Notamacropus eugenii: one gene and its partners. The protein of the gene in region 4 purifies or fractionates together with the protein of the main gene of each other region. This does not show direct contact. Links are inferred from orthologs where the notes say so. Each region holds a gene or a part of one and is shown on either strand. Other genes may lie near its edges.

Evidence for each region.
Region 1: the proteins of MED21 (region 4) and RPAP2 purify together in Homo sapiens (affinity purification with mass spectrometry; 3 studies listed by BioGRID and IntAct, with this or other methods). This does not show direct contact. The link is inferred for Notamacropus eugenii from reciprocal best matches to the Homo sapiens genes MED21 and RPAP2.
Region 2: the proteins of MED21 (region 4) and MED9 purify together in Homo sapiens (co-immunoprecipitation; 8 studies listed by BioGRID and IntAct, counting the BioPlex papers as one, with this or other methods). This does not show direct contact. The link is inferred for Notamacropus eugenii from reciprocal best matches to the Homo sapiens genes MED21 and MED9.
Region 3: the proteins of MED21 (region 4) and MED12L purify together in Homo sapiens (affinity purification with mass spectrometry; 3 studies listed by BioGRID and IntAct, counting the BioPlex papers as one, with this or other methods). This does not show direct contact. The link is inferred for Notamacropus eugenii from reciprocal best matches to the Homo sapiens genes MED21 and MED12L.

What each region holds. Positions count from the first base shown.
Region 1 is NC_092873.1:503,848,177-503,855,450, forward strand, and holds the start of RPAP2 (putative RNA polymerase II subunit B1 CTD phosphatase RPAP2), read left to right. Parts: upstream 1-4,256; 5' UTR 4,257-4,370; coding exon 4,371-4,446; intron 4,447-7,274. Other genes in the region: GLMN (glomulin), read right to left, coding at 611-736, 1,848-1,886.
Region 2 is NC_092874.1:334,239,275-334,247,077, reverse strand, and holds the start of MED9 (mediator of RNA polymerase II transcription subunit 9), read right to left. Parts: upstream 3,060-7,803; 5' UTR 3,045-3,059; coding exon 2,632-3,044; intron 1-2,631.
Region 3 is NC_092877.1:339,850,061-339,857,999, reverse strand, and holds the start of MED12L (mediator of RNA polymerase II transcription subunit 12-like protein), read right to left. Parts: upstream 3,015-7,939; 5' UTR 2,760-3,014; intron 1-2,759. UniProt on the Homo sapiens protein: May be a component of the Mediator complex, a coactivator involved in the regulated transcription of nearly all RNA polymerase II-dependent genes.
Region 4 is NC_092874.1:178,501,419-178,508,570, forward strand, and holds the start of MED21 (mediator of RNA polymerase II transcription subunit 21), read right to left. Parts: upstream 3,016-7,152; 5' UTR 2,439-3,015; coding exon 2,397-2,438; intron 1-2,396. UniProt on the Homo sapiens protein: Component of the Mediator complex, a coactivator involved in the regulated transcription of nearly all RNA polymerase II-dependent genes.

The DNA of each region.
Region 1 (7,274 bases), on a different chromosome or scaffold from region 4:
GTTTTGGTTAGAGTTGTGCCTTGTTCTTTCAAAATTTTTTCATAAACAGTATTTTGTTTTTATCCCACAAGTGACTTTCTTTAAAATGAATAAAAGAGTATAATATTAATTTATTGTTTGTCTGGGTCCCTGAAGTCAGGCCATTGGAGTTGGGCTATATTTTGTATAGTGAAAACTGTACGAATACAGCCCAAGCTTTAAATTAATCCAAGTCTCTACCTAAATGCCACCAATTTTGTTAAAAAAAACCATAGGCATGAACCCTCGCTCTTAATTGTTTAATTTTTTTTAATGAAGTACACAGTACAAAGTGTTTTAAAATCATTACTAAAAGAGTTCTACTTGGCAAACGGAAAAAAAAAATTCAGCTGAATCCCATTTTTAACACTGTTTACCAAGATGTGAATTTGTGCAACCGCTTGGAAGGTTAGGCTTAAGCTATTATGCTAAGTATCCCAATGGTATTAGCTATTTAGATGTACACTAAGAATAGAACGCTCATGCAATGCTCATTTAGTAATCTGGGCAGGGTTATCCAGGGTATCCGTCGGCTGCACTCTATCTAATAAAGTATAAAAAGTTACACATGATAGTAAGTGACAACACTTACCTTGTTCTTTTCATTTTCTAAAATGTCTAATACCTGAGCAACGTGCCCTTCTTCTAAACACTTTTGGCCTGCTAACTGAAAGAGACCAAAATCTTCCTCTTTGAAGTTCTCCTCTTCTAGGATTTGCTTTAGAAACAACAACAAAACCCGACAAGTTAGCATTCATTTACGTGATTATATAATAAATTAAATTATGACTTGATTGTTTAGTCTTGATCTACACCCATAGTACAAACACATGGGCAGAATTAATGACTTTCCTAAACAGTATCCGAATAAACTATCTTAGAATCCAATGTACTAAAATTCAGAAAAACTTAGGAAGCTAGAGAAGCAATGTGTGTCTGGTATCTCCACTATCCTTCTCCCACCCCTGGGAGTATTTATTCATAGTGGGGGCAAAAAAGCAACACTGCTCCAAGAGAAAACCCAAACGTCCAGCCTTGCATACAAAGCATTCTCTGGTACAAACAAATAACAATGTGGAAGGGAGAGGTTTATTTTTGTTCAAAGAAAATTACTTCTGAACAAGTTGTAGTATATGAATGTGATGGAATACTATTGTGCCATAAGAAATGATGAACAGGAAGACTTCAGAGTGGCCTGGAAAGACTTATATGAACTGATGCTGAGTGAAATGAACAGAACCAGGACACAGTAACACAGTAACAGCCACAGTGTGCGATGATTGTTTCTGACAGACTAAGCCCTTCACAGCAATGTAAGGACCTAAAACATTTCCAAAGGACTCATGGAAAATGCCATCCACATCCAGACAAAGAATTATGGAATTGGAAGACAGACTGAAGCAGAATATTTTCTCTTGTGTTATGTTTTGTTTTGTTTTGTTTTTTCTCCCATTCATTTTAATTTATCTATGTAACATGACTAATGTGAAAATGATTTAATAAGAATGTACATGTAGAACCCGTATAAGATTGCATGCCAAAGATTGTATGCCATCTTGGGGAGGGAGAGCAGAGGGAGAGAAAATTTAAGACTCATGGAAGTGATTATTGAAAACTGAAAACAAATAAATTAATTTTTTAAAAAAGAAAGTAAGTAGATCCATTTCTCAAATTTTTTTGAGCTATGTCAGGACTCTCTGGTTTTATGGATGTGGAGTCCCTTCTCTGACACAGATGGCAGCCCCTCTGTTCCTTATTCTAGACCATCTTCATAAGTTGCTATGACTGCAATAAAATAAATTAAAAATTAAAAAAAGAAAATTACTTACACATCTCTTTACTATGGACTGAAGTTCTTCCACAGCCATTCCTGAGTTTTTGACTTTTCTTTCAGTTTTACTGTAGAGAAACACTAAAAAGAAAATAACTGCTCAATTTATATAACCTGCTTTAAGATTTACAAAGGACTTTATATATATATGTATATACACTATAAATATATTTGTTAATTATTTGATTGTTACAACAACTTGTGAGATAGATAGTGGGTTTATTATTATTTCCACTTTATAGGTCAGGAAACTGAGGATGTTGAAGGGTAAGTGATTTGACCATTATCACGTAGTTGAGATAGGAGACTTGACTCCAAATTGAGCATGACTCTATACTCAATGTCAGTGGTGTCAAACTCAAATAGAAATGAATCCCTCCCAGCCAGCCACATTAGAAAACCACAAATTAACATTATTTATATTATATTGTATTTTTCTTTATTTTGTTAAACATTTCCCAATTATATTTTACTCTTTTTCAGCCTCACTCTTGAGTTTTGCAAGAGCCTCTGGCCTTGAGTTTGACTGCTCAGTGCTATATATACCACACTGCAATTAACTGATGAAGATATTTTATTATTATATTAAGGAGTAGGTATATAAATATACTTCTGAATTAAGTATTATTATGAAGAATCTAATAATTTTAAGAGTTTAGTAAAAATCATCGCTGAACTTTAGCAGTCTTTTTATGGAAATATTAAAGATGATAAAACAATAGTTGGTATTTTAAAAAATGAACTTTTCATGTATTTTCTAAGTTTTCCAGTTCCACATTTACATATGCCTACTTTTTTCTGAGATGTCTTTACTTTCCAGAGGAAAGGGTAAGCATTTTGTAATGCAAAAATCACTCCAAATACTGAGAAATCCCAGGTCTAATTCAGAACTCTGGTTCTCTGTTAGCGAACCCATATGGGGTCCTGACACACAGTTTAAGAAGCACTGGGCATCCCTAGTAGAAAATATTTAAGAAGCCCTGCTCTACTGATAGGGACTGGGGGGGAACTCTTTGATCATTCTTGGATTCTACACTTCTACAATTCTATTGGAGATTCCACTATTCTAATGTCACGGGCATCAGAGCATCCCCACTTACAGGGTCATAGTCTAGGTGCAGAAGAGGCCCTAGAAATCCCCTGTGTCAACCTTCTCATCCATCAGCACTGGGATAGCGCTGCTCTGGGATTCTGAAGCCACAGCACTCAATCCAACAAGCCTTCCTTAAGGGATTACGGGGCCTCGGGGCTAAGCTCTGAGGATACTTAGACAAAAAAAAATGCAACTAGCCCTTCAGGGAATCTATCATCACCTACTCTCCTGATCACCCCATCACTCCACCTCAGCATCACCTATACTGACGGCCAATTCCCTCAGTTTACAGAGAGGGAAACTGAGACCGGAGAGCTTTAAGTAATTTCACCCCTTGCTGGGACGGAGGGAAATCGAATGGATAGATGGCTTTTAAAAGAAGCCTCTCCTACTTGTGGGAAGTCAATCAGTCAATCAATCAATCAATCGAGGATCACTGGGAGAAGACAGACCAGAAGCAAGTTCACGAAGCTCCCCCTGCACGTGCTTGGCTGCTGGGCATCGGTGACATTGACCAACTCCTGAAACTGACGCCTGTGAACTAAGTGCCTACTGTGTGCTGGGCCCGAAGAGTGCGCTGAGCAGTGCTCGTCCTCGGGGGCTGGGGGGAGGGGCTCGGAGGCTGTCCCACCGGACGAGCCCCGTCTCCCGGCCTACCCGCTCTCTCCGCTGGGGGCCAGGTGGCTTAGCCGAGATTCAAGCCGCGTGTAGGGCCCCCCTCCACCCCCTAGGCACCCTGGGCTGGGCCGCGGCCTGGATCGAGTCCGGTGACTCCCCAGCTCAGGCCGCGGGCCTGGGGCTAAAGCCCTGCCCCGAGCTCTCCCCAGCAACCAGACCGCCGCCGCAGCCGCCTACCTGCCCCGACCCTCTCCAGGCAGGCCTGGGCCTCCTCCTCCGCTCAGCCTGGCCGAGGCCCCGCCCCTCCCCGCCTCCCGCCCCGCCCTGCCCGGCGCGAGGACCAATGGCGGAAGGACCCAGGCCCCGCCCCGGATCCCGCCCCCATCTGCGCAGCAGGTCTCAGGCTGAGGATAGGAGGAGGAGGAGAAGGAGGAGTCGGTGGCGCTGTCGTCATGGAGGATTGAGGCCCTGCCTCTGACCCCGCCCCCATCCTGCCCCACATCTCACCTCCCACGGCGCAGGGAGGAGGTGGAGCCCTCGGTGAGACAGTCCATGGTTAAGGAGCTGAAGTCCCGCCCTGACCCCGCCCCCTGCCTCACCTCCCAGGCTCTGGAAGGAAGAAGTAGGAGGAGCCTGTGATGTCGTCATGGAGGAGGAGCTAAGGCCCCGCCCCCCGAGCCCATCCCAGGTGGCTCCGGGGAAGGAGGAGGAGCCGGGGGCGGGGCGATCATGGCGGACGAACGGAGGCCCCGCCCCTGACACGCGTCCCGGGCGGCTCTGGGAGAAGGAGGAGGAGCTGCTGCGGCCGACATGGAGGACCAGCCGAAGCCACGGGCCCGTGGCGGCCCCCGGAGCAGGAGCTCCCGAGGCGCTCGCAAAGGCGCGGGTAAGAGCTGGGGCCCAGGGGCCCGTCACGTCACGCCACCCGCGCCGCCCCACGAGGGACTGGGGCGAGGCGCCGAGGTAGAGGGGCCTGCCCCTTGTGGGAGGTGGGGCTAATCAGGCGGCCCGGCTACCCCTCTTCAGGATGGGGATCCCCCCTTAGAAAGAAGGGAACCCCCTTAGAGAGATGAGAACCCCCTTAGAGGATGGGGACCCCCCCTTAGAGAGAAGGGAACCCCCTTAGAGAGATGAGAACCCCCTTAGAGGATGGGGACCCCCTTAGAGAGAAGGGAACCCCCTTAGAGGATGGGGACCCCCGTTAGAGAGAAGGGAATCCCCTTAGCGGATGGGGACCCCCCCCTTAGAGAGAAGGGAACCCCCTTAGAGAGATGAGAACCCCCTTAGAGGATGGGGACCCCCTTAGAGAGAAGGGAACCCCCTTAGAGGATGGGGACCCCCGTTAGAGAGAAGGGAATCCCCTTAGAGGATGGGGACCCCCTTAGAGGATGGGGACCCCCCTTAGAGGATGGGGACCCCCCTTAGAGAGAAGGGAACCCCCTTAGAGAGATGAGAACCCCCTTAGAGGATGGGGACCCCCTTAGAGAGAAGGGAACCCCCTTAGAGAGATGAGAACCCCCTTAGAGGATGGGGACCCCCGTTAGAGAGAAGGGAATCCCCTTAGCGGATGGGGACCCCCTTAGAGGATGGGGACCCCCCTTAGAGAGAAGGGAACCCCCTTAGAGGATGGGGACCCCCCCTTAGAGACAGGGTGATCCAGACCATTTCTCCCCTCTGCCTCTTTAGAAGACTCTGGTCTCCTTAGATTCTTTTTTTAAACATAAATTAAATTATTTGTGTTTAGTCTTCAGCATTCACTTCTATAAGTTTTAAATTTTCTCTCCTTCCCTTCCCCCCTCCCCAAGACAGCTTGCAATCCGATAGAGGGTCTCCATATACATTCTTGTTAAGCGTATTGTCACATCACTCATATTGTATAGAAGAATTAGAACGAATGGAAGGAACCATGAGAAACAAAACAAAACAAAACAAAAATAGAGAAAATCGTCTGCTTCCATCTGCTTTCAGACTCCACAGTTCTTTCTCTGGATGTGGACGGCATTTTCCATCATGAGGCTTTTGGAGTTGTTTTAGGTCCTGGCATTACTGAGAAGAGCTAAGTCAACCAAAGTGGGTCATTGAACAAGGTGGCTGTTACTGTGTGTAACGTTCTCCTGGCTCTCCTCTCCTCACTCAGCATCAGTTCAGTCTTCACAGGTTTTTCTGAAGTCCTCCTGCTCACCATCTCTTATAGCACAATAGCGTTCCATTACATTCATGTACCACAGCTTGTTCATCCATTCCCCAGGTGATGGGTATCCCCTCCATTGCCAGTTCTTGGCCACCACAAAAAGAGCTGAGCTGCTATAAATATTTTTGTGCATGCAAGTCCTTTTCTCATTTTTATGATGTCTTTGGTATACAGCTCTAGAAGTGGTATTGCTGGGTCAAAGGGTATGCACATTTTTATAACCCTTTGAGTGTACTTCCAAATTGCTTTCCGGAATGGTTGGATGAGTTCACAACTTTACCAGCAATGAATTAGTGTTGCAATTTTCCCACATCTTCCCCAGCATTTATAATTTTCCTGTTTTGTCATGTTAGCCAATCTGATGGGTGTGATGTGGTACCTCAGAGTTGTTTTGATTTGCATTTCTCTAATCAATAGTGATTTAGAGCATTTTTTCATTTGACTTTAGCTTTAATTTCTTCCTTGGAAAACTACCTGTTCATATCCTTTGACCATTTATCAATTGGGGAATGACTTGTATTGTTATAAATTTGACTCATTTCTCTATATATTTTAACAATGAGGCCTTTTTCAGAGATACTGGTTGTAAAAATTTTTTCCTAGTTTTCCTAATTTTCTAATTTTTTGTGTCACTCCTGACCTTGGCTACATTGGCTTTCTTTGTGCAAGAACTTTTCAATTTAATGTAATCACAATTATCCATTTTGCACTTTATAATGTTCTCTGTCTCTTGTTGGGTCATAAATTCCACTGTTCTCCATAAGTCTGACAGGTAAACTAAACGTGCTCTCCTAATTTGCTTATATTATCAGACTTTATATCTAAATCATATACCCATTTGGACTTTATTTTGGTATACGGTATAAGATGTTGGTCTATGCCCAGTTTCTGCCATTCTGTTTTCCAGTTTTCCCAGCCGTGTTTGTGAAATAGTGAGCTCTTATCCCAGAAGCTGTGTCTTTGGATTTATCAAACAGTAGATTACTATGGTTCCCCTTAGATTCTAAGGGGAACCTGTAGCCTTGAGGCCACATGTGGCCCTGTAGGTCCTCAGGTGCCACTCTGACTGAATTCAAACTTCACAAAACATTGTTTTCATGTGGCCTCGAGGCCACAGGTTCTCCACCTTGCCTTAGAACATTCACTATCTAAGAGTGACATTCCCACTTTAGAGGACTCTTGCCATTTCCCAAAGGGAATCTAGCCCATTCTCATGCCATCTGCTTTAGAAGATTGTCTGTGTTAAGAGTTTACCCCTGTTCCCTTTGAGAAGCGATCTGAGGAATACTCTGGTATCTTTCTGCCTTCCCTAGTCTGTGAGATTGTAGAATCATAGATCTAGTTCTGTAAGAGCCTCAGAGACCCAGAGTCTAACTCCTTCCATTTGTAGATGACAAAAGAGGCCCAAGTCAGCTCACAGACTCACCCAAAATCGCAGTCACAGTAGTGAGTTCTATCCACCATCTAGGGACCTGTAGAGAGGTGCCTTTGAGGCTAGGAGATTTGGGTGAGAACAGGATCTG
Region 2 (7,803 bases), about 160 Mb from region 4:
TGAACTGTATCAATCATAAACTTCCCATTATAAATAACACCAGAAGAAATGAGAAGTTACAATTAAATAAAGGATGATTTTCCCAAATACTTCTTGAAGGGGTAAATAAAGGGATTAGCAGAATTGGTTTTATTGTGAACCCAAAGGCAAGAAGACACATTATTTCCTGATACATTTGTCCATCTTGTATTTCAGTACTCATGATACTATTTGCAAAAAGGCCTCTGTGGAAATAACTGCAGCTCATGTACCAACACTTGTCATGAAAGATGACAGAGTAAAGAAATTCTCTTAAGAATTTGATAAAATTCTCCAGATTAAAATTAACATCTTCAGTGACACTCAATGGCCTCAATGCAAAGATGGCCAAAAATTTATTAGAAAAAATGTATCAATAAAAAGATGTGAGAGGGACTGATGACTTGTAGGCCACACAGAAGTCTAGGGGTAGGCATGGATGAGTTACATTCTGAATCCTTGGATGAAAACAACCAAATCTTTGACTGGTTCAAAGATTTATATGAATGTGTATATATATATATGAGTATATATTTATATAAGTAGGAATATTATAGGAGTACATGAGTAGACATCATCAAGAAAGCCATTGTGGAAGAGGTCATCATATGAACTTAAAGAGATGAATATAATTTTGATAGACTAAAATGGGATTGGGAGATACAACATAGGCAAACAGTAACAGGGAGAAATCTGACCACTTGCAGAAAAAGTCCTCAAAATCCATAATGGTTATGGTTTTAGGCTGAAGTTGGGGAATAACAGGACATGGGATGGAAAGAATGGAAAAATCACAGAATTTTAGAACTAGAAGGAACCTTAGAGATTTTCTAACCCAACCCTTTCATCTTACAGGGAATGAAATGGAGGTCAGGTGAAGCTAAGTCACCCTACTAGTTAATCACAGACCTGAGATTAGAAGATAGGTTTTCGGTGCTCTCTACACGATACTTTGCAGCCTTTCCCAGTCTGGGGCTAGTACAAAGGATGGGAAGGGGATTTAAATACTTGGTATAAATAATTATAACAATAGATGTGAAAGCCTATACAAATACAAGATGCTACATTATCTCATTTGATCCTTCCAATTCTGATTGCCAGAGAAGAAAACAAGAAAAGGGAAGTTGAATGATTTGCCCAATGAGGGGGTACTGAGCCTAGAATTCATGTCTGGGAATTCGGGGTGTGTGGGAGGGGAAGTGATCAAAAAAAGTAAAAGATGAACGCAACAAGAATCGGGAGAGAAAAGTTAGAACCCTGGAACATTAGAACCAAAAGGGATTTTAGACATTTTCTAATCTAATCCCTTGATTGGGCAAAGAAAGAAACTTAGACCCAGAATGTAAGGGACTAGAAACTTTTAGGTTTTCTAACTTCTCCTACACACTCTTTCCAATGAGGGCCACCTCCAGTCATCCTGATCTCTATTTTGCCCCTGGATCCAGACTGCTCTGGAGGAGCAGTGAGGTGGCAGAGGAGGTGACTCTGCACAGCCCTCTCTCACCTACATCTAATTCACCTGTATGTCATGGCATCACTTCCCTGATGTCATGGTCCTCTTGCAGGACAAAGGACAAACAACTCTTTCCAATACTCTGATCTGTCTGGGATTTGATAGGGGATGAGCAAGTGGTACCAACTGTGTACAGCTCAGATATTGCGGAGAGATGAAAAAAAGAAAGGTACTCATGCTCATGGCCCCTCTTTCAGTTCTGTGATGCAGGCCACCCTGCTCCTCTCCTCATTAATTAACAGAAAGTATAAAGACATACGTTTATTACACTGGGTCAACTTCAACACCTAGGGGCACTAAGGGCTGGTAGTCCACCATGACATCAACTTCAAAGCTTAGGAATTCCTGACCCCAAAATATCACACTAGGTCTTCCTTCCCTCTGAAATGATCTTCCACTGACCACCTCTACATCTTGTATGCGTAGTCTTTTGGCATGCTGTCTCCTCCATTAGAATGAGAGCTCCTTAAAGGCAGGGACTGTGTTTTTTCGCCTTTCTTTGAATCTCCAGCTCCAGCACACAGTGCCTGGCTTAGACAGTAAGCACTTACTAGATGCCTGCTGCTTCATCGCAGTAGCTGGATGACACAGTAAGTGCCTAATAAATGCTTGCTGACTGTCATAAGAGGGATCCTTGGACATCGCTCAAATCCAAGCCCTTCCCCTTACACGGGGCACTCGGGTCTACCGGGCAGGGCTGATCTCTGCATTGGACCCTGGGCTCCTGATCCACCTGAGGCAGCCGGAGCCATCACGGGTTCACCTCATCTCTTTGCCATGGCAACGTGTACTCTGCAAAGAGCCCATCCTCGGGGGACTCCGCAGATGCGCAGAACTTACCTGAGATGCGAAGGAGCACGTCACCCCCGGGCAGTTAATCGTGGGGATGTGGAGGAAGGGGGAAGAGAGGAGGAGAAAGGAGGAGGGGAGAGGGAGGGGGAGAGGGGAAAGGAGGAGGGGAAAAGGAGGAGGGGAGAAGGGGAAGGGGAGAAGGGGGAGGGGAGGAGAAAGGAGGAGGGAAGAGGGAGGAGGGGAGAGGGGAGGGGAGAGGGGGAAAGGGGAGGGGGCAAGGGGAGGGGCGAGCGCGGAGAGCACGTTACCATTTGATGACGTCATGGACCAAAGGCAGGAAAGAGTAGGTCTCCTCCTCCTTGAGGCCCGGGGGCGGCGGGGGCTGAAGAGAAACCGACGCCGGAGGCTGCGCCTGGGATGGCTGCTGCTGCGGCTGCGGCGGGGGCTGGGGAGCGGGCAGGGGCTTCTGCTCCTGCAGCGGCGGCTCCTGCGGCTGCGCCAGCGTCTCCTCCGCCGGCCTCCCGGAGACCACGCCGACGGAGGCCATGGCCGGTGGGCCGGCGGACCCGGCGCTCGGTCGATTATCGCCGGGGCCTGGGCGGGAGTCGCTTCCTTTAGACGTCACTGGGCGCGCCGCACCGGGGCGAGCTGGGTACGGGAGAGGCCGCGAGCCACCGAGCAGTCCGCCGCCCCGCCCCCTCCTGCGCTTCTTAGTGCGCATGTCAGGAGTGTGTGGCGGGGCTGAGGAGGGGCGAAGCGAGATGAAGGCGAGGCGGAGCGAGGCGGGACCAGGCGGGGCGGGGCGGGGGAATGGAATTGGCTGTTGCTAAGCAACGGCGTAAGCCTGTTAGCGAAAGCTCTTCCCTTCTCACCAGTCAATCAACCATTATTAAGCGCGCACTATATGCCAGACTGCGTGCTGTGTGCCCGGAATACAAAAAAGAGACAAAAGACTGCCCCTGCCCTGGAGGAGTTTACCATCTAGTGGGGGAGAAAACATACAAATGCAAAGCAAGATAGACACAGGATAAATAGGAAATGACAGAAAGCAGACGCTGGAATTGAGGGGTGGGGGAAGGCTTCCTGTAGACGGTGGGACTTTAGTTGGGATTTAAAGGGTTCTGGGAACAGAGGAGAGAGAGAGAGAGAGCATCCCTGGTGTGGGAGACAGCCTGGAGCCAAGAAAAGGAGACTAGGGGAATAGTCAAGAGGCCAGGGTCACTGGATTGAAAAGTATGTGTTGGAAAGCAAGGTGTAAGAAGACTGGAAAAATAGGAAGGGGGTAGGTTATGAAGGCCTTTGAATGCTGAATGGAGAATGGACTTGAGGCTGGCCGACCCACCAGCAGGATTTTGCATATACTGCATATAATAAGGTATAATGAGGTCCTATACCAGAGTGGTAACAGTATCAGAGGAGAGAAGAGATGTTGCAAAGGTGAAATCGACATGCTTTGGGTATGAGGAGCTGAGAGATAATGAGGAAACCAGGACGACTCCTAGGGTTTCCAGCCTGAGGGGCTGGCAGGATGGTACTGTCCTCTACAATAATAGGAAGGGTTTAGGGGGAAAGATAATGAGTTCTGTTTTGGACATATTGAGTATAAGATGTCTGCTGGACATCCAGTTCAAAATGTCAGAAAGAATTGGAGGTCAGGAAAGAGGTTGGGGTAGGGTAAGTAGATTTCAGAATCATCAGGATAGAGATTAAGTCCTTGGGATCTAATGAAATCACCAGGTAAAGTAGTATGGAGGGAGAGAAAAAGAGGGTCCAGGATGGAACCCTGAGGGCCTGCTGTGGTTAGAGGATCCAGCCAAGGAAACTGATAAGGAGCTGTCAGATTTGGCTTCATGGGGTGGGGGGGTGGGAGGGGAGCGGGGGGTGCTGATACGTATTTAAAGACAAACTCTCAAAAAAAGTACATTATATACTCACTTTTAAGTTTAATCTGTTCATCACCTTCATAGGTCTAGATAATCAACAAAACAATAAATTAAAATCTAATTTATAGCTTTTGCTGATTACCAAAGTGTAAGTTTAACAACAGGCTCTCAGTAGTATACCACTGGGATTGATTAGGTCTCACTCTAGCCTTCCCTGAGGCATTTGTCAAAATCTCATACCTCACCTTGCCTGAGGTCTATCCTTTTGGAAGGATTGACTTTCTTTTGGGAGGACCAAGGTTCTCCAGGGAATGGGACTAAAGATCATTGACCTTAGGGTTCCTAAATGCTGGGGGGGAGGGGGGGAAGGTAGAAATGGAGATGGGATTGGGAGACAAAATTTCTCTCCCTTAGGCTGGTGAGCCTGAAATTCACACCTACCTACCCCCTCCATCCCTCTTTCCCATACTACCTTTCTGCACATTTGCTCTTCTTTTCCCCTCACTGTCAATTTAAGCCTTCAAAACTAGATTCCAAACCTACCTCCAGGAAACATTTCAGTCAATCTTAAGCACCTACCACTTAAGCATAGCATTAAGTTCTGAGAATACAAAGAATAACAAAAGACGGTTTTCTGCCTCATGGAGATTCCAGTCACAAACAACTACGTACAAACTAACTATATACAGGATAAATTGAACATGATCAATAGAAGGCATTAGAATTAAGGAGAACCTAGAAGATGAAATTTTAAGTGGAAGCTGAAAAAAGATAGGGAGGTCAAGATAGAGAGATAAGGAGGGACAATGCTCCAAGCATGGGGACAAGCAGGAAAAATACCTGGAGTCTGGAGATGGATTGTCTTTTTCAAAGAACGGCAAGGAAGCTAGTGTCACTGGATCTCAGAGTACAGAGAGTATAAGGTAGAAGAAGACTGGAAAGGACAGAGGCAGGGGCAGGAAACAATTGACTTCCACCAACATTTATTTAAGTCTGCTATTTACTACAGACATTTAAATGGCTCGGTGCGCTGGACCTAGACTCAGAAAAACCTGAATTCAAATTTGGCCTCAGACACTTCCTAGCTGTGTGACCCTGGCTGTATCACTTAACCCTGCTTGCCTCAGTTTCCTCATCTGTAAAATGAGCTAGACAAGAAAATGACAAACCATTCTGGTATCCCTGCCAGGAAAACCCCATGGATAGTGTTTGTGTGCTATGGTCCATGGGGTCACTAAGAGTCGGACTCGACCGAACAAAAACTATTTACTATGTGTAAGGAACTATGTTAGACACTGGGGATACAAAACTGAGGAATACAAAATCCTTTTCTTGAGGCATACAGGCACACATATATGTATGCGTAAATGCATACATACAGGTTCTACTGGGGTAAGGGAAAATGAATGACATAGTTCCCTGTTGCTTTTAGGATAAAGTATAAAATAATTTTTAAACTAGCAGGGACTTTAGAGAAACCTTCTGATCTAGTTCCCTCATTTTGCAGATACAGAAACTGAGGCCCAGGTCACATAAGTAGTACAGAGAAGACCCAAGCCGAACCCCCAGGTGTCTGTCTGACAGCAGATGTAGGACTCTTTTCCCTGAACCATGTTGCCTTCACCTTGCATATAAAATTCTCCACCGCCTGTCTCCTCTCTACCTCTGTTTCGTTCCATATCATTCTCCAGAACTCTCAGTCAAAAGGAGCTACTGTTTCCTCTGTGATATAACAGCTCTATGACCTTACTCTAATCAACATAGTATTAACAAGCAGCATTTGTATGACATTTTTAAGATTAAGCATTTTACAGATACTTCATTTTATCCTTACAACAACTCTGGAGGTAAGTGCTGTTACTGTCTCCATTTTATTTTATTTTTTATTCTGAACTTAAGAAATAAAATAAGCATTTCTTTAACAAAGTCGAATAGTAGCAAAAAAAAAAAAAGCATTGCACATGAAACTGCAAATCTATTATGCACAACTTGCTTTTCCTTTAAAGTGCATATTAAAGTTATTATGTAACTTTCTTTTTTCTCCCTACCATTGGACACAAATATGTATATATGTGTAAATGCGTACTATCCATACTTCTATTTATCAATTCTTTCTCTGGATGCAGACAGCACCTTCCTCCACAGGTCCTTTGTAGTTAAACTATCCCCATTTTATAGATGAGAACACGGAGGCAGGCATCCTAATAACTTGCCCAGGACATGCTGCTAGTAAGTATCTGGAGACAGGTTTCTAATTTAGATCTTCCTGGCTCCAAGCCCAGTACCCCCATGCCCTGGGATGGGGCTAGGGTCTAAGCATTACCACTGGCCCCCTATACTTGGCTCTGCCCTGGTGGGGCCTGACTCTTGGACTATATCAGATCAAGTGTTTCTCAATCATTCCCCACCCCCATGCTAAGGACTAAGCACTTTTCCCCTGTTCTCCAAGCCCAAGTGTTGCCTCTGTCTTGGCATTGCCAATGCTGGCTCATAACTCTGTGCCCCTATGCCAGGCCAAGTGTTTCCTCTGCATTCCCACTCCCCATGCCTTACATAAATGCTCATACTTTGTAAGGCAGTTTTAGGAAAACTTTAACACTTCCTTTACACTCTTTCTTTGCACCTTGTAGGGCTGTAACAAAACTTTTAACACCTTCTGTACAAATAGTAAACACTTAATAAACAGTGAATAAACAAATGAATCTGAGGTTCCTACCATCTCCCAAATTCTCTAGGATTCTAAATACCACAATTATCTTTCATTTAATTCAGAATACAATGTGAGATACACTAATCCAGTGATACATGCCTTATAACTTACAAGCAAAAATGGGTTTCAGAAAATGCTCTGAAACACTATTAATCAGAGAAATGCAAGTTAAAACAACTCTATACCACCTCACACCTCAACCTCACATCAACAAAATGTTGGATTTTGGGGGGGATGTGGGAAAACTGGGACACTAATGCCCTGGAGTGGAGTTGTGAACTGATCCAACCATTCTGGAGAGCAATTTGGAACTATGCTCAAAGGGCTACAAAAATGTGCATACCCTTTGACCCAGCAATACTGCTGCCAAGTCTATATCCCAAAGACATCCAAAAAAATGGAAAAGTACCTATTTGTACAAAAAAAATATTTATACCAGCTCTTTTTGTTGTGGCTAAGAATTGGAAACCAAAAGGATACCCAGCAATTGGGGAATGGCTAAGCAAACCCTGGTATATGATTGTAATGGAATAGCTTTGTGCTATAAGAAATGACAGGCAGGATGATTTCAGAAAAACCTAGAAAGTCTTACATGGACTGATGCAAAGTGAAGTGAACAGAACCAGGAGAACACTGAAATTGTATTAAGTCCTTATGAATGCAATATATTATATTCTAAAAAAAATAATATAATTAGGAATAAGGTTTTGACTTCATTACCTTGCATGCAGGTGTCAAATACTGTAAGTGCAGCCATTTGCTTTGGAAAAGCTGAAATAGCCATGACACGTTTGTTTCTGGATATTTCTATTTACCCTGAATGTCAAAAGTTTTAAAATGCCGTTTTTTTCTCCATAAATTTGTTATTGTACAGGGGAGTACATTGA
Region 3 (7,939 bases), on a different chromosome or scaffold from region 4:
GTAAAGTGGAGTCCAAAAGGTCTAGGAGCCCAGGAATCGAGTCCATGCCAGGTTGTGCAATTAGCCTTGTGCTGGTGTCTTGGGGAACTAGGAACAGTCTCAACTACCTGGTCCAGATCTGAGACTATCACAAATGCCAGATTTGGACATGAACATGATGGGACCAACACTACGTAGAAACTCTGCTACTTCTAAGCCCATTCACCCCAGACACCAAAGTGGAATAGGAGTTGGGGTACCCCTGAGGTGTTGGGGGGAAATGTTGCACCTCTGCTCTTACTACAACCTTAAAGCAAATATCCCTTTGTATAAACTACCTGATGTTAATTCATTAAACAGTGCTCAGATACTAGTCATTGGTGGCTAATAGTGAAAGGAACAGTATCATCTGATGGCATTAAAAAAGCACCCCAACTTCTCAAGGGTATCCCTAGAACCCAGAGATGGAAATATAGCTGCCTCTGAGAGTATTTGGTATAATAATAAATGTTAGGATTCATGTCAATGTGACTTACTTATAGGGTTTGGATTAGACTAGATCACCTCCGAAGTCTGTGGCTTTGTTTCCCTCAGGTCCTGTTATCCTGAATTATGATGTTTTATGAGAGAAGTCTGCTGTCACTGAGGATTCTCTCTCATTTCCCTACACAAAGAACCTAGACTTGCAAATATAGCCAGCCAAGCAATGCCTATCATTATAATTTTCTGTCTGTTCCTCTGATGTATCTTCCCAGGATTGTGTCTGAGGCCAGATTTGAATGAGACTAACTTATTGTATTATAAACAACTCCATGATGAAGGTGGGAAATAAAAGTCTGGACAGTACCAGAGTAAAGAATCTCCCTCCACGAATGCATAAGGTCATCTGCTCTGCAACTGGGATTGTACAGGTAAGAGACACTGAGGCCCAGTGGATGGATACTAGCCTTGAATCTAGGAAGACCAGGGCTTAAGCTGCACCTCCAACAAAGTCCAATCTTATTTCTCAAAAACTAAAGGACCTTCCTACAAGAAAGTACCAAGGACTCTCTAAGGTCCACAGTTAAAAATTTTAATGTTTAAATCATGAGGTTTTGAAAAGAAAGGCTTGTCATTTTAAAAAATCCCCGGTGCTCAGCATAGTGATCTTCACATTTGTGTGTATGTGGCAGGAGGGAATGTGAGGGGTGCTGATTGTGTAGCCCTAGGATTTCATCAGAGGGGAACAACTCCCAGTATGGAAAGTCTTTCCAGCAATGAAAACCTTTGACTTATTCCTTATACTTTAGAAAGTCACATAGGCACTGATGAGTGAAATAATTTGTCTGTGGCCTCAGACAAGTGTGTTTTCTCTCTCAGAGGCAGGATTCCAGAATCATAGATCTAGAGTCAGAAGGGCCTTCAGAGGCTTCCTAGTCCAACGCTTTATTTTACAGATAACTGAGGTCCAGAGGAATATAGGTCCAAGGTCATTGAGATAAATATCAGAGGTGGACTTTTGGGATGCAGGTCCTCTGACTCTGAAGCCAATGTGATCTTTCTATTATGCCAAAGTGCAGCCCAGGATGCTCAGGTCTTTCCAGTTCTAAAATTGCCCTTTCTATCCAATATGCCATGCTTCTTCTTTCCCTGTATATAGCAGGCATTTAATTAACATGTGTGCAATTAAACTGATCTGATAACAAACCAACATACAAGACTGGAATGCCTCCGCAATAGAGATCTGGAAAAAAGTCAGTCATGCAAAATAGACTGTTGAAAATTTTGCATTCTAATAAAAATGTTCACAGACCTAGAGGTGCTATTATTATTTTCAGCCTAACTATAAGGTTAAATTAGGCATAAGTATCTGAAAATTGATGGTTACTCTCTGAGAAACCACACCATGGTAAAAACATTAAAAATTTATACAGTAATTCCCAGCTTCCAAATACATAATCGCTGCTACCATAAAGTCATTAGCAGTTCCTTACAACTTAAAAAATATATATATTAACCAAGAAAGCAAAAAGAATCCTTAGTTCATTTCATGTGGAACATTTGTAATAATCTTGAAATGTGGTCGTTGTTCTTTGTCATTCTGCATGCCTCCCCTAACAATCCAAACTTTAAAGTGTGGCAGACTGTTCAAAGACAGTCTTTGAGATTACAGGAATCTCTCAGCATATGGAAGACTTATGTTTTTGGAAAGTCGTACCCAACATAAAATTCTATCTGTCCACTTTTTCCATGGTTGCTCATTACATAAGTAGGGATGCATTTCTATGGAAACAATGTACATATATGAACCCATTCTTTGAGACACAATAGTCATGCCTCTTTGGGTAAACACTGAAGCTCCTCTCCTGCCACACAAATGAATTTGATTTTCTATTTTAACGATTCCAAAGATCATGGTACAGCTGGGTTACAGCCCAGCAGTGATAAGCAAGTGATGAAAAGTCAAAGACAATAGAATCACGGAATCACAGATTTTAAGAGCTGGAAGGGACGCCTCATTAGCCATCGAAGCCAACCCATGGCTACAAAGAATCCCTACTGTAACATGAATAAATAAGTGGAAAAGCAAGTGGTCAACCAAACTCTGCTTGAGTACCTCTCATGAGGGAATAGCCCCACCCATTCTACTTTTAAACAGCTCTAATTGTTAAGGTATTTTTCCTACTATCAAGCCTAATTTTTTTTTCAGAGCTTCCCTCATTACTCTCAGTTCTGCCCTATGTGGCTAAACACCACAAATGTAATCCCTCTTCCATATATACAATAGCCCGTAGACATACCTACAGTTTGTGATCCATTGATGTCTTTTCCAAGGTTTCCTCTTTGCTTTGTTTTCTGTGTTTACCATCAGGCCCAGGACCCTCAATTTCCCAGAGTAGCTTTAAAAATCGTGGGCTAGCTCCACAGTGTGACCCACTCTCCTCTAATTCTTGCTTTTTTCTTTATAATATAATGAAAATTATTGGTTTTCATTGATAAATTTTGCTTTGACACAGCTGACACTTCTGACCAACCGACCCCTCCAACATTCTTAACAGTTAAGCAAAACTGCCTCAGGGTGATGGATAACACTTGTTACTTTCCTTTTTTAGAGTTTATTGCTTATTACCAGAATGGGAAGTGGGGTACTTAAATGTTAATAAATTGGTGCTCACCTCATCAGTATACAACCTGAATTTTTATTGCTTTTTAATGCTGTCTTCGTTTACACTATTTCAATCATTGGATATATAGTGTAAGTCTCCCTCATCTGCGCCTCCCCCACTCCAAAAGTGATGCTAAGTTTTAGGCATATATTGTGTTGGAGCCATCTAAAAAGTCTCCATTGATGTTTCTTTTCTTAGATACGCTAGTTCAAAGCACCCCCCCACCCCAAATTTAGTGGTGAAGCAAAATTAAGTATACACAAATATCATTGTCTTTCCCATCTTTCATACACATAAAGGTATACTCCCATAGATTATCACATCACCAGTGGCAGAAGAAATGCATATGGACAGGAGTATTAATGGGAGAAAACTCATACAAAGAGAATACACACAACCAGGAAAAATGGTTTCCCCTGCAGAGCTACTAATATTATATGCCAGTTTGGTAATGTCATCAAGCTGAAAGATGGTCATGTAGGCTACTCTCCCTGTTGCTGCCCCCTGGTGACTGGACACAGTACTAATTCTATCATCCCATATTTTTGCTGGGCTGCTCTCTGTTGGTCCTCCAGTGGTCTCTGCTGCCATCTGCCAGTACTCTGCTGAATTGCCATTGCTGTGCAGCCTGCTCCCTGAAGTGGGCAGAGTGTTGGAGTTATTTTAGCTCATAGCTCTAGAGGCTAGCTCAGTTTTTTGGTTATCCATACTCATGACAGCCAAAAAAAAAAACAAGTCACAAAACAAAACAAAAACCTCTTGAAGTCTTGTCTGTCATTCGAACTGCTTCTTTCTGCCTCAGGCAAGAATTCAATCTATTCTATGAGTTCCTTTATGGCCAGTCACCATGGGACTTAGCAAGACTGGGCTGGCCAAGTAACATTTGTCCCATATTCCACGAGTCATTAAGTGGCTGCCTTCCTTGTAGGCTGGTCTTTTCCATTTGCTTTTTTTCACTGTGAATCACTTAGTATGTCTTCTAATGTTTCTCTGAATTCTTTATATCCACTACTCCTTACAATGCAATGGTATTTCATTACATTCATTATCACAAATTGTGGAGCATTTTCCCAGTCTTTGTGTGCATATTGTTTCCAGGTTTTTGCAATTATGAATAGTATTGCTACTGGCCTTCTCCTAAATAGGGGCCTTTCTTGTTATCATTAACTTCCTTGGGATATAAACCCAGTAAAGCATTACCGGGTTAAAGGATACACACAACTGAGTTGTTTTTCTTATATAATTTTTTACATAATTTCTAGGATGGTTGGACCAATTTATGTTATCCGATCTCAGTTGGGAAAGGCAAACACTCTACCCCTCACAAATCATTTTGCTATGCAGCTCCCCACATATGTTGTTCTAAACCTTCCCATCTCACATCAAGGCTCCAACAGCACCCCCTACTTGGTGTTCTCTTTAGCAGAGAACTGTTGCTTCCTCTTATCCCCGCCAAAAAAAATTCACTAAGAATTTCCCTCTCTTTCCTCCTCCTTATTTCACATTCTTTAGACATATTCTCCCACTATCTTTTACTTCACTCTGGTCTCAGATGAGCTAGACCTTGGATGTCAAAGCCAACATTTGCCTTTCATCCCATTCCCTCCCAACAACTCCAACAGATTGCCCCCTCTACTATCCACACTTTACATCTTTACTCTTTCCCTAACTACTGAGTCCTTTCCAGTTGCCTGCAAGTATGCCCATGTCTTCCTCATTCTTAGTTAAAATCATTTATTAAGAATTTACTATGTACCAGTCACTGTGTTAAGTGCTGAAGATGTAGAGAAAGATGGACACATAATCCCTTCTCTCAAAGAGGATCTACATTCTAAAGAGGGAGACAAAATGCCAGCTACTATGTACATACAAGATATATACAGGATACATGAGAAGCAGTCTCAGGGGGAAGACAGGGAGTCAGTGCAGAGAAAGACTTTTTGCAGAAAGTGGAATTTGAGGTGTCTTGAAGAAAGCCAGGAGGCAGAGAAGAGGAAGGAAAGCATTTTAGACATAGGGGACAGGTGTGCCATGCGAGCCTTGAGCCTCCAGTTAAGATTATACTACACAAATTTGGAGTGGACCTAGTTAGCACGTTTTCACCATTTTCTCCAGCTCTATTCAGCAGCACATGAATAAAAAGAAAGGCAGCAGATAATGGAAGTCATCCAAGTCTGAGGCTTGGCAAGGCATGATGGTAACAGGATAAGGGAGGTAATGGACTCAGTTATGGAGAAGGGTGTAGAGTTGAATTGATTCACAAAAGGGTCAAGTTAAGGAAGGCAAAAAAGTTTAGCCAATGTAGGGGTGATGAAATGGGAAGAAACTAAGGAATGGAAGGGACTGGTCATTGTGAGGACTAAGAACAGGGAAAGATAGAATGACAAGAGATTGGGATCAGATAATGGAAATGAGCAGTTTATGAACATGGAGGTATGATGGTAAGAAAAAGGGCAGGAACATTTCTATGTGTAGCTGAGGTTGAAAGGAAGAGTAGGTCATGAAAACTGAGTAGACTGAGGAACTGTGAAGCTAGGGTGTAGTAATGTGTTTTTGATGGTGTGGAGGTATAGTAATATGTATGCTGGAATCCCATAGGGAAGGACAGGAGTTGGGAAGGAGAGAAAAACTGTGATCCAGGCATTGGACTCATTGAGAAAAGGAGGAAAGTGTCCTGGGGACTGATAGATCACAGCTATCAGAATCTTGATAAATTTGGGTGAGCAATTTGGATTGAAGGAACCGGAAAGGAGGAGAGGTTATTGAGTGATGGTGGTAGTAAAGAAAGAGTCTGAAAGTAGCTATGGAGAACAAGGAGGTTTTTTGACTCCACCACCAAAACCAGTGAGTTGGAGAGTATCAGTGAAAGTACAACCAGGGCTGGAAGGAGTGACTAAGTCTCAGAGAGAGTCAGAAGATGGAGGGAATGGGAAAAGAAAATTCTTAAGATGAAAGCAAGTGTGTTACTATGGAGTAGGCAAGCATCCCAAGAGAACCCAGTCAAAAGGAGCCAGTAGATTTGGAGTGTGACATTGTGAGTTGGGGCAGGGAGGTAGAATTGAGGGGATTGGGAGTTAGGAAGCCAGTGGTGAAGAAGGGAGTTTGTACAATGACATTAGGGGTTCAGAATCACTGGGATGAAGGGACTGTGACTGGGTAGGAATGTTAATCATTAAGGGATAAATCCAGCCATAATATTAGTGATTAGAGAGAGGTCCACTGAAGGATGGAGATTAGACTGTTCAAGGCTCTTACCTGAGTCCCAAGTTTGTGGTAGCTGGTGGAGATACCGAATCTTTTGAAGTCTAAGAGGCCAGACTCAAAACAGGCAGGAGGTGGAGAAAGTACCAGCTGAGTTGGGACAGGAGGCAATAAGTAGCTAGCAATTCAGGCTGGGTCTGATCTCAGTACTGGGTGAAGACAAAGGTTATAGACTGGGGATTTGGATCTGGATCTGATGCAAAACTCTCTGGGAAGCCTCTGGAATGAAGGGGCTGCAGGACAGGGAGCTGGACCCAGAGCTGATTCAAGGCTCCCTTAAAAAAATCCTTATTTGATCAGACCATTCCTGTTAGCTGCTGTCCAATATGTCCTCTTCCTCATGGTTAAACTCCTTGAGAAAGCCACCTACAGTCAGTGCTTCCATTTTTTTCTTATCCCACATTCTTTTGAAACCTGTGCAAACATGGCTAATGCAGAAATATGTTTTGCATGACTTCACATGTATAACTGATATATCGCTTGCCTGCTCAATGCTTAAGGAAGGGATTGGAAGGAGGGAGAGAATTTGGGACTCAATTTTTTTTAAATGGATGTTAAAAATGTACATGCAATTGGGAAATATTTAATGAAATAAATAAAAATATATTTAAAAATAAATCCACTGCAATTTGGCTCTGTCCCTATTATTCAATAGGGAATTCAGCTGAAATTCCTCTTTCTAAAATTACCAATGATCTCAGTTGCCAAATCGAATGCCTTTTCTCTTCCCTCAGCTTTCTTGGCCTCTCTGCAGATGCTTCTCCTTGAGAAAGTAAGAATTGTTTCATTATTTGTACTTTTATCCCCAGCCTCTAGCACAGCACATGAAACATTGTTCATTTGTTCATTTGTGTTTGATCTTTGTGATACTGAGGATCGTAGCAGGTCAATACTGTCCAAGGAGTTTTCTTGGTAAAGATACTGCCATGGTTTGCCATTTCCTTCTCTAGTGGATTAAGGCAAAAAGAGGTTGAGTAACTTGCCCAAGGCTACACAGCTAGTAAGTGTCTGAGGCTGGATTTGAACTCAGGTCTTCCTGACTCTAGACCCTGTGCGCTACCCCACTAAGCCATCAAGCTGCCTCTAGATGTTACTATGGAACATAGTAAGATCTTAATAAATGCTTGTTGGTTGAATAATTGTGTGATGGGTTCCACTTGCTGGGAGAAGCAAAGAGCTTCCTTAGGCAAAATAAACCCATTGAGGAACTGTAAGAAACAACACCTCATGCAAACCCTACTGAGTGAATGATTATGAGTGAGAACATTCAGTCCCTGGGGAAGGATTCCTCCTTGGTACTGATCGATATTTTTCCATGAGCTCTGATAAGAATTCTGTATGTTTTTTTGACCTATAGGTCAACTATTGTTTTCCTCTCATTTAAACTTTGTGAACTCTGAGCTTGTGAAGGTGAATGGTAGCAACTCTGGGAGAGTCAGGTGGTTCAATGGCTAGAGTACTGGTCATGGAACCAGGAAGATTCACATTCCTGAGTTCAGTTCTAGCCTCAGACACCTAACTCTGTTTGCCTCAATTTCCTCATCTATACAATA
Region 4 (7,152 bases):
TGAACTCATGAAGATGAATCTTCCTATCTCCGGTCCAGGCACTCTATCTGCTGTACCACCTAGATGCCCAAAACAGAACTACCACCTCTTTTTATAGATGCTATACTTGTATTTATTAACTGTGAGACCTAAGGGAAATCACTTATTCTCTGTGGTGAAATAGTTGGACTAGATGACCTCTAATATCCCCTTTAGCTCTAAACAGATTATTCTATAAATTAGGTCTTAGATCATTTTAGAGTTTTTGGTTGCCCTGTCACTATTGATCCATACTTGAGTTTTTAACAGCCTCTGAGGTCTGGATCTATTGCTATGATCCTATGATTCTTCTCTTTTATTGTTAACAATATTAATATTTTCCTTCAAAATATCTCATATCTGTCCCTTATTTTCCATTCCCACTACTCAATCTTCTGTTCACCTGTGCACTACTGCAATAGATTCCTGATGTCTCTAGTCTCATATTTCTTTAATCTATTCAGTATACCAATAGAATTTATTTTTTTTAAAAACACCACTTTCATCAAGCCACCACTGCTTCAAATCTTTCAGTTTCCTATCACCCTCAACATAAAATTCAAAGCTCTCAATAATCTCTCCCCTACCCAATATTTCCATCACTCCCCAAAATATATCTTCTGATTCATTTAGACTTCATGAATCCTTTCTAAATCTCTTGAACAAGCAAATCTCTACTTTCTTGAACCCACAGGATTTGAGTAGCATTCATGTTGGCTTTTAATTAATATGCTGTTTTTGTACTGTTACTTTTTAAAATGTGTACATGTTTTGTCCCAATTAAACGCTAAATTTTTCAAGGGAAAGAACTGTATCTTGCAGAACTTAGTGGGGTTGTGCATGCAGTATACACTCATTATCTGCCAAATGAATGAACTTCCACTTCCACCTCAATTTCCCTAAGTTCCCTTCTGAAGACAATGGCTAAGATTACTCAATACTCTATTTTTCATACGTAAAATTATCTTAAAATAGGGTCAACTTTGCAATGCCATGTCAAAGTTAATCCTGGCTGAACAATCACACTTCGATGATCAGGAACTGAAGGTTCTTCACCCTGCTGCCACACTGTTCAGCAAGCCCAATTAAGTGGCAGTCAGGTGGCTAGTGGACAAGGGCACCAGACTTGGACTTGGACTTAGGAAGCCAGGCACCGTGCTAAGATCATTTTTACAAATATTATCTCATTTCACTCTGTGAGATAAGTGTCATTATTATTCCCACTTTACAGCTGAAGAAAGGAGGCCACAGAGCAAACTGAGTGTTCCGGATTCCAGGCCCACCGTCACTAGCTGCCTCTAACAATAACTCCCTCAATAGTTTCTGTGAAAATCTACTATGAAAACACACACAAAGCTTCTTCGCATATAAGAGTTATTTAACTGTGGATCCCCAGTACATTTGGGCCAACAGAGATAAGACAACCTGTAAAGTACACTGGCAGCCCTAAATAAAACTGCTTCTTATAGTCAAAAAGACCCGCGTTCAAATTCGCTTTCAGACACTTGGAAGTTGTACGTGCCAAGGCAGGTCACTTAACCTGTCTGCCTCAGTTTCCTTGAATGGGGATCATACTAGCACTTATCTCCCAGGGCTATTGAGGGGATTAAATGAACATCTCTTAATATTATTAGATATGGGCCAGGTCCATAGAAGGTGCTTAATGAATGCTTACTGATCACCGATTAACACATAGCAGGAAGCTTGGCACATAGAAGGAACTTAATATTTATCGTTAATATCTGGAAGGCGCTTAGCACAGTGCCTGGCACATGAGGTGCTTAGCATTTATTGATCAACGTTTACCGTAAAGTGTTTAGCACATATTTGTATCTGGTTGGTTACTGATTCACACCCGTAACCGTTCTGCACAGCGTCTTGTTCCTCTATTCGGGGGGCAGCCGCAGCCCCGTCTGGGAGCCGGGGGTAGAAAACAAAGCCCTCCTCGCGAGCAGCCCGAGCCCGGAAGGAGCGGGCACCGCCGTCGCACGGCCCGCCCAGGGCCTGCAGCGCTCGCTTCCCTCCTCCGCACCGCGGGGAGGCGCCCAGGACTCTCCTCCGGCCCGTCTCCCTTCCCCCAGAAAGGTAAGGAGGGCGGCTCCGGGGCAGACCAGCCGCGCAGGGGGAGGGGGAAGAACCGACGAGAGCCGAAGGCGATGACGTCTCCGGTGGGTCACTAGCCCCGGTCAACGCCGCGGCCCCTCCCCCTGTCCCTGGGTCAGTCCCGAGCTCGGCTCCCGGCCGGGTCACTGCCACCTCTCTCACCTCGTCATCTCAGCCCCAGCCGCTGCGGGAGGAGAAAGAAAACGCCCAAACCCCGGCGCCCCGTTACCCGCCCAGGAAGAGATGAGGCAGCGACGCCAACTCCATTTCCTCACCGAGTTGACGGCGTCCTGAAGCTGAGTGAGACGATCCGCCATGTTGCCAGCGCTGACGCCAACGCCGCAGCCCTTCCTATAGCCCGCTCCCGCCTGATTGGACGGCGCGGAGCGCCAATCACTGGACTGCTCTTCGGGAAGGGGGCGGAGCCACCGTCTGGCCGGGCGCTGGGAGTGGAACTCGTTTGTTGTGTTTAGTCGTTTCCGTTACGTCCTGCTCCTCGTGGCTCCATTTGGGAGGCCGTCGGCCAAGCCGCTGGACTGGTTTCCTTCCACAGCTCGTTTTACGGTTGAGGAAGCGGAAGCCGACTGGGTGAAGTGACTTGCCCGGGGCTCCCCGGCTAGTTTGTGAGGTCCGACAGGGAGAAACATGTGGTGAAATCGGGAAAGCCTCTCCTAGTCTTTACTGTCCGTCCCCCTAAGTGGACAGGCAGCCTCCCCAGGGAGGTTACCGGAAGACTGCGACACGTGCAGGAAGGCGGGGCTGCTTAGGCTGCGTCTCCCGCCACGCCGCCCCCTGGCCACGTGACTCCGTGTTCTCCTCTCTGACCGGCCCTTCCTCCCCAGCTCCTTGGGCCTGCGCAGTCGTTCCTGACCTCTAACCTGTCCAGGCTGGGTCACCAGCCTTATCCCCCAGGACCGTGGACAACGGAACTGTCTTACTTCCCACAGCTGCCAAAGGGATTTCCCTAAATCATGCCGCCTTCCTACGTAATACATACCAGCTGTTCCCTGTTGCTTCTAGCATCGAGTACAAACTCTGGAATTTCAAGCTCTTCCCAACATGGCCCTGTCTTCCCTTTCCAGCCTTCTTACTACTGCCCTCCACACACACTGCAGTCCAACTCTGCTGGCTTTGATCCTCCAGTCCTTCTTGCTGTTCTTCCCCTTCATTCCCATCTCCCATCTCTATGCCTTTGCACTGGCTGTACCCCCCATGCCTGGAATGTTCTCCCTCTTCAGCTCCAACTCTTGGAAACCCTGGTTCCCTTCAAAATGCAACTGGAGCACCACTTTCTTACATAAAGTCTTCCCTAGTTGCCCTAGGGGCCAGTGTCTTCTCCAGGGTTACTCTGTATCTGTTTTTATATACCCATGTGCCCAGTTAGAATGTAAACTCCTTGAGGGTCCATGTTATTGTCTTTGTGTCCTTAATTCTAGTACTTAGCTGGTTGGTTGTTGTCCTTCATTCTTGAAGAGGACCACAGGGACATCACCATGATAAAGTGAAGTTTCAGTGTGCACGACTGTGGCTGATGAGATCAATACAAACTTGGAATGCTCTAGCACAGATTGGGCACAGATAGTCTGGGTGAACATTTGGGGTGGTGACTCCAAATTTGCACATCCTACGGTTCCTCTGTGCTGTCTCAATTCTGCTTCGCTAATAGAGCACAGCACCCTTTCTGATGTGGGCACACCATGCTGAGTGGTCCTGTGCCAGTGTCTCCCATGTTGCACAATCAAATCCAAAGTTCTTGAGAGAGATCTTGTGGAAAAAAGCACTGACTCCAGAAAGTCAGAGAAACCTAGAATCTAACCCCAGTCCTGTTATTTACTCTTTGATCTTGCATAACATACTTGAGTTCTCTCAGTGTACACTCCTTTTAAAATTAGGAATAATAATATCTTCTCTACCTAACTGATATGATTGTAATGAGGATGAGGTGATATTGTATTGGAAAGAACTTTGTAAACCATAAAGCCTTAAGTGAGAAGTTGCTAACAGTTCTTGTCTGTTTCATGGACCCCTTTGGCAGTCTGGTGAAACCTAGGGATTCTTCTCAAGATAAAATTCGTAAATACATAAAATATATAGGATTACAAAGGAAACCAATTATATGGAAATTCAGTAATCCAACATAAAAAAATAACAAGTTCATGGATCTCAGGTTAAGGATCCCTACCCTGCACAAGCATGATTACAGCCTTATGACTTAACTTTCCTATTATGGTTACCTAGAGCTTTCTAGCTCCCTCAGTGGCCCTTACTGCTTTCCCTATTGTATTCCTTATTGCTACCCTGTTTTATCCAGGGAGATTATGAAATGTAGGAAGAGAAAGAGAAGGAAATTGTTTGCATTTCAACATGCATCTATTTCATGCTTCCATCAGTTACTTCTGGTTTCAGGCTGTTCCCATGGGCACTCCCAAAAAACAGCTGGAAGGCAAGACGTGTATTACCTAATGGACACACTGGATATTTTGCAATCAAGAAAGTTGGCCACAGGTGAGAACTGAAACCATGGTAGTAGAATAAATCCTGAAAAGGATACACAAAGAGCCAAGACCTCATCTTCACCCAAGAATTCATTCCCAGGTTTGAAACCTTAACACATTCAGCCCAGTCAGATCCTGCTTCGAGCAACATGAATCTTACAAAGCTACCACTTAGCAGTAATACTAACTCACAATTTATATTAGCTTTAAGGTTTGCAAAACACTACATTAGGTCTCCACCACACCTCTGCATTATTCCCATTTTACATGGATCAAAAGAGTTAAATGATTTTCCCCGGGCTTACACAGTTAAGTATCTTCCTGACTCCAAGTAGTGTATGATCCAGCACACCAGATTGAGGTATTTACTACCTGTGTGACCTTGGAGAAGATCTGGGCCTCAGTTACCTAATGTGGAAAATGAGGTAGTTGAATTAGAGAACTTCTGAAGTCCCTTGGGACTCTAAAGCTTTCAAGGAGATTGTTTAATTTTTCTCAGGCCCACAATTGGTGTCCAGTAATGAGGGAAGGTACTTGGTTCTCCTGTCTTGACTGTGCCAGAAATAGCTTCCAGTAATCTGAGTTAACTCTATCCAAATTCTACTCTCAAAAGCTTGAGGGATTAGACTGTGAATTCACTCTTTCTTTACCCAGTGTCTGTAACAGACTCCTGCATCAAGGTGAAAGGGGTGGGATTATGTTGCTGAGTCCTGAGCAAACTTTGGTGAGTCTGGAGGTCTATGGAGGCTTTAGAAGCAGCTTGGGTTGGTGATTCATTTGAGTTGATGGTTGGAAGAACCCAAACCTCAGAACATTAATTTCCCTCTGCATTGTGCAGACAGACCTGGAAGAGTCTCTTCCTCTGGAGAGAGGTAGAGAAAAAGAAAAAAAGACCATTGATGCCACAGGGAGCTAGGAGTTGCCACTGCTGCAGGAGAGAATGACGATAGAGAACACCTGCTGGGAACTGGGGAGAACAGCTGGGAATGCCGGGAGGCTCATGGCTTCACCTCTCCCAGGAGGTGTGTTAAGCTTCCTCACCACTAGAATCTCCTGCCTGAACACACTGCCCTGATTTGCAAGCTCAGCCTATTCTTTTCTGTTCTTCAGGCCTCCCTTTAACACTGAACACCCAGGTGGGGGCCACCATTAATGCCAACGCTCCTACTATTTTCTGTTCTCCTTTTCTCCATCATTGATCCTGGGAGGAGGTCCTAGTTAATTGTGCCCTGCTTCCCTGGACTATCGCAGAAAAGTAACAAGGCTTCCAAATTGGTAACTATTGGATGTCCAGACAGCAGGGCACCATACCCTGCCATCTTGGGACTCAAAGAAACTGCACTTTACTGTGTGTTCAGTCAGGTCCCTGAGGTCCCTGTATCCAGAAATTATTCTAAAGTCTGAACTTCTCTAAACTACACATTAACTCCACTCTCCAACGCTGCTGGACCCTTGAGCATGAGAGATCCATTCATTTGATACTTCATCTTATGTTTAACAAACTCCAATCTTTTCTGTCTTATGGTTAACAAACTCCAATCTTTTCTTCCCCAATTGCCCAAGATTCAAAATTAATGTCCACCAAGGGGAAAATCCTCTTTTCTAACTACTCCCCAGTCCCTCTTCCCTATCCACCTTTGCCCTGTTCTTCCCAAATCCTTCTGCTGTTCTGGCCTCCCTTCCCATTGAGTTCTCTGTAACTCCCACATTGTTCTTAATAAATTTCTCTTCATCTTTCACCACTTTCTCACACACTTGTCACCTTCTTGGACTCTCAACAACTTGTCTCTCTAAAAGGCACTGCGTCTCTGCCTACCTTCTCCAGTCCTAAATATGCTCTCTCTCATATTCCCTGACACACAGGGCAAGGAGAGGACGAGGTGGTCTATTCCCTGCTCTTCCCTCTGCTTCAATCATTCAACAATCTCTCTGTCTCTCTCCATTCATTCTGTCTGTATATATTGCTCTGTCCAAATCCTTGTAGTCATTTATCTGATTTCAGGTAAGCCTGCCTCTTGAAGAAGGTTGCCACCTAGCTCAAAGTTTTCTCTCCGCTCAAATCCCTGCCATTGAACTTGGAGACTTCATTATGCATATTGATGCCCCATCAAATATACTGGCATTGTAATTCATCAGCCTCCTACCTTCATTCCATCTCAACCACATGTAGAAATGATCATACCTTGGATCTTACTATTATTCTTAACTATGCTAGCTATATCATCTTAAACACATAAAGTCTTCCCTCTCATCATAAACTCTTAGTCTTCCATCTCTCCCTCTGTCTCCCTTCTAAACCAATTCTTCATCCTTACTATGACATCGAGGCACTCCTCTCCTCCTTGTTCTCTCAGTACATTACCTCTGCTCTGGCCTCACTTTTCACCCTTAAATCTTAATTTTATGGTTAACAAATTCAAATATACCATGCCTGCTACTTTAGAATCCTTTGACCTTTTTTTGGTTGCAGTTTTCATCTTTTCAAAGTCCTAACCTGGGTTGCCTGCATCATCTTACATCTCCCATGCTCCTTTAC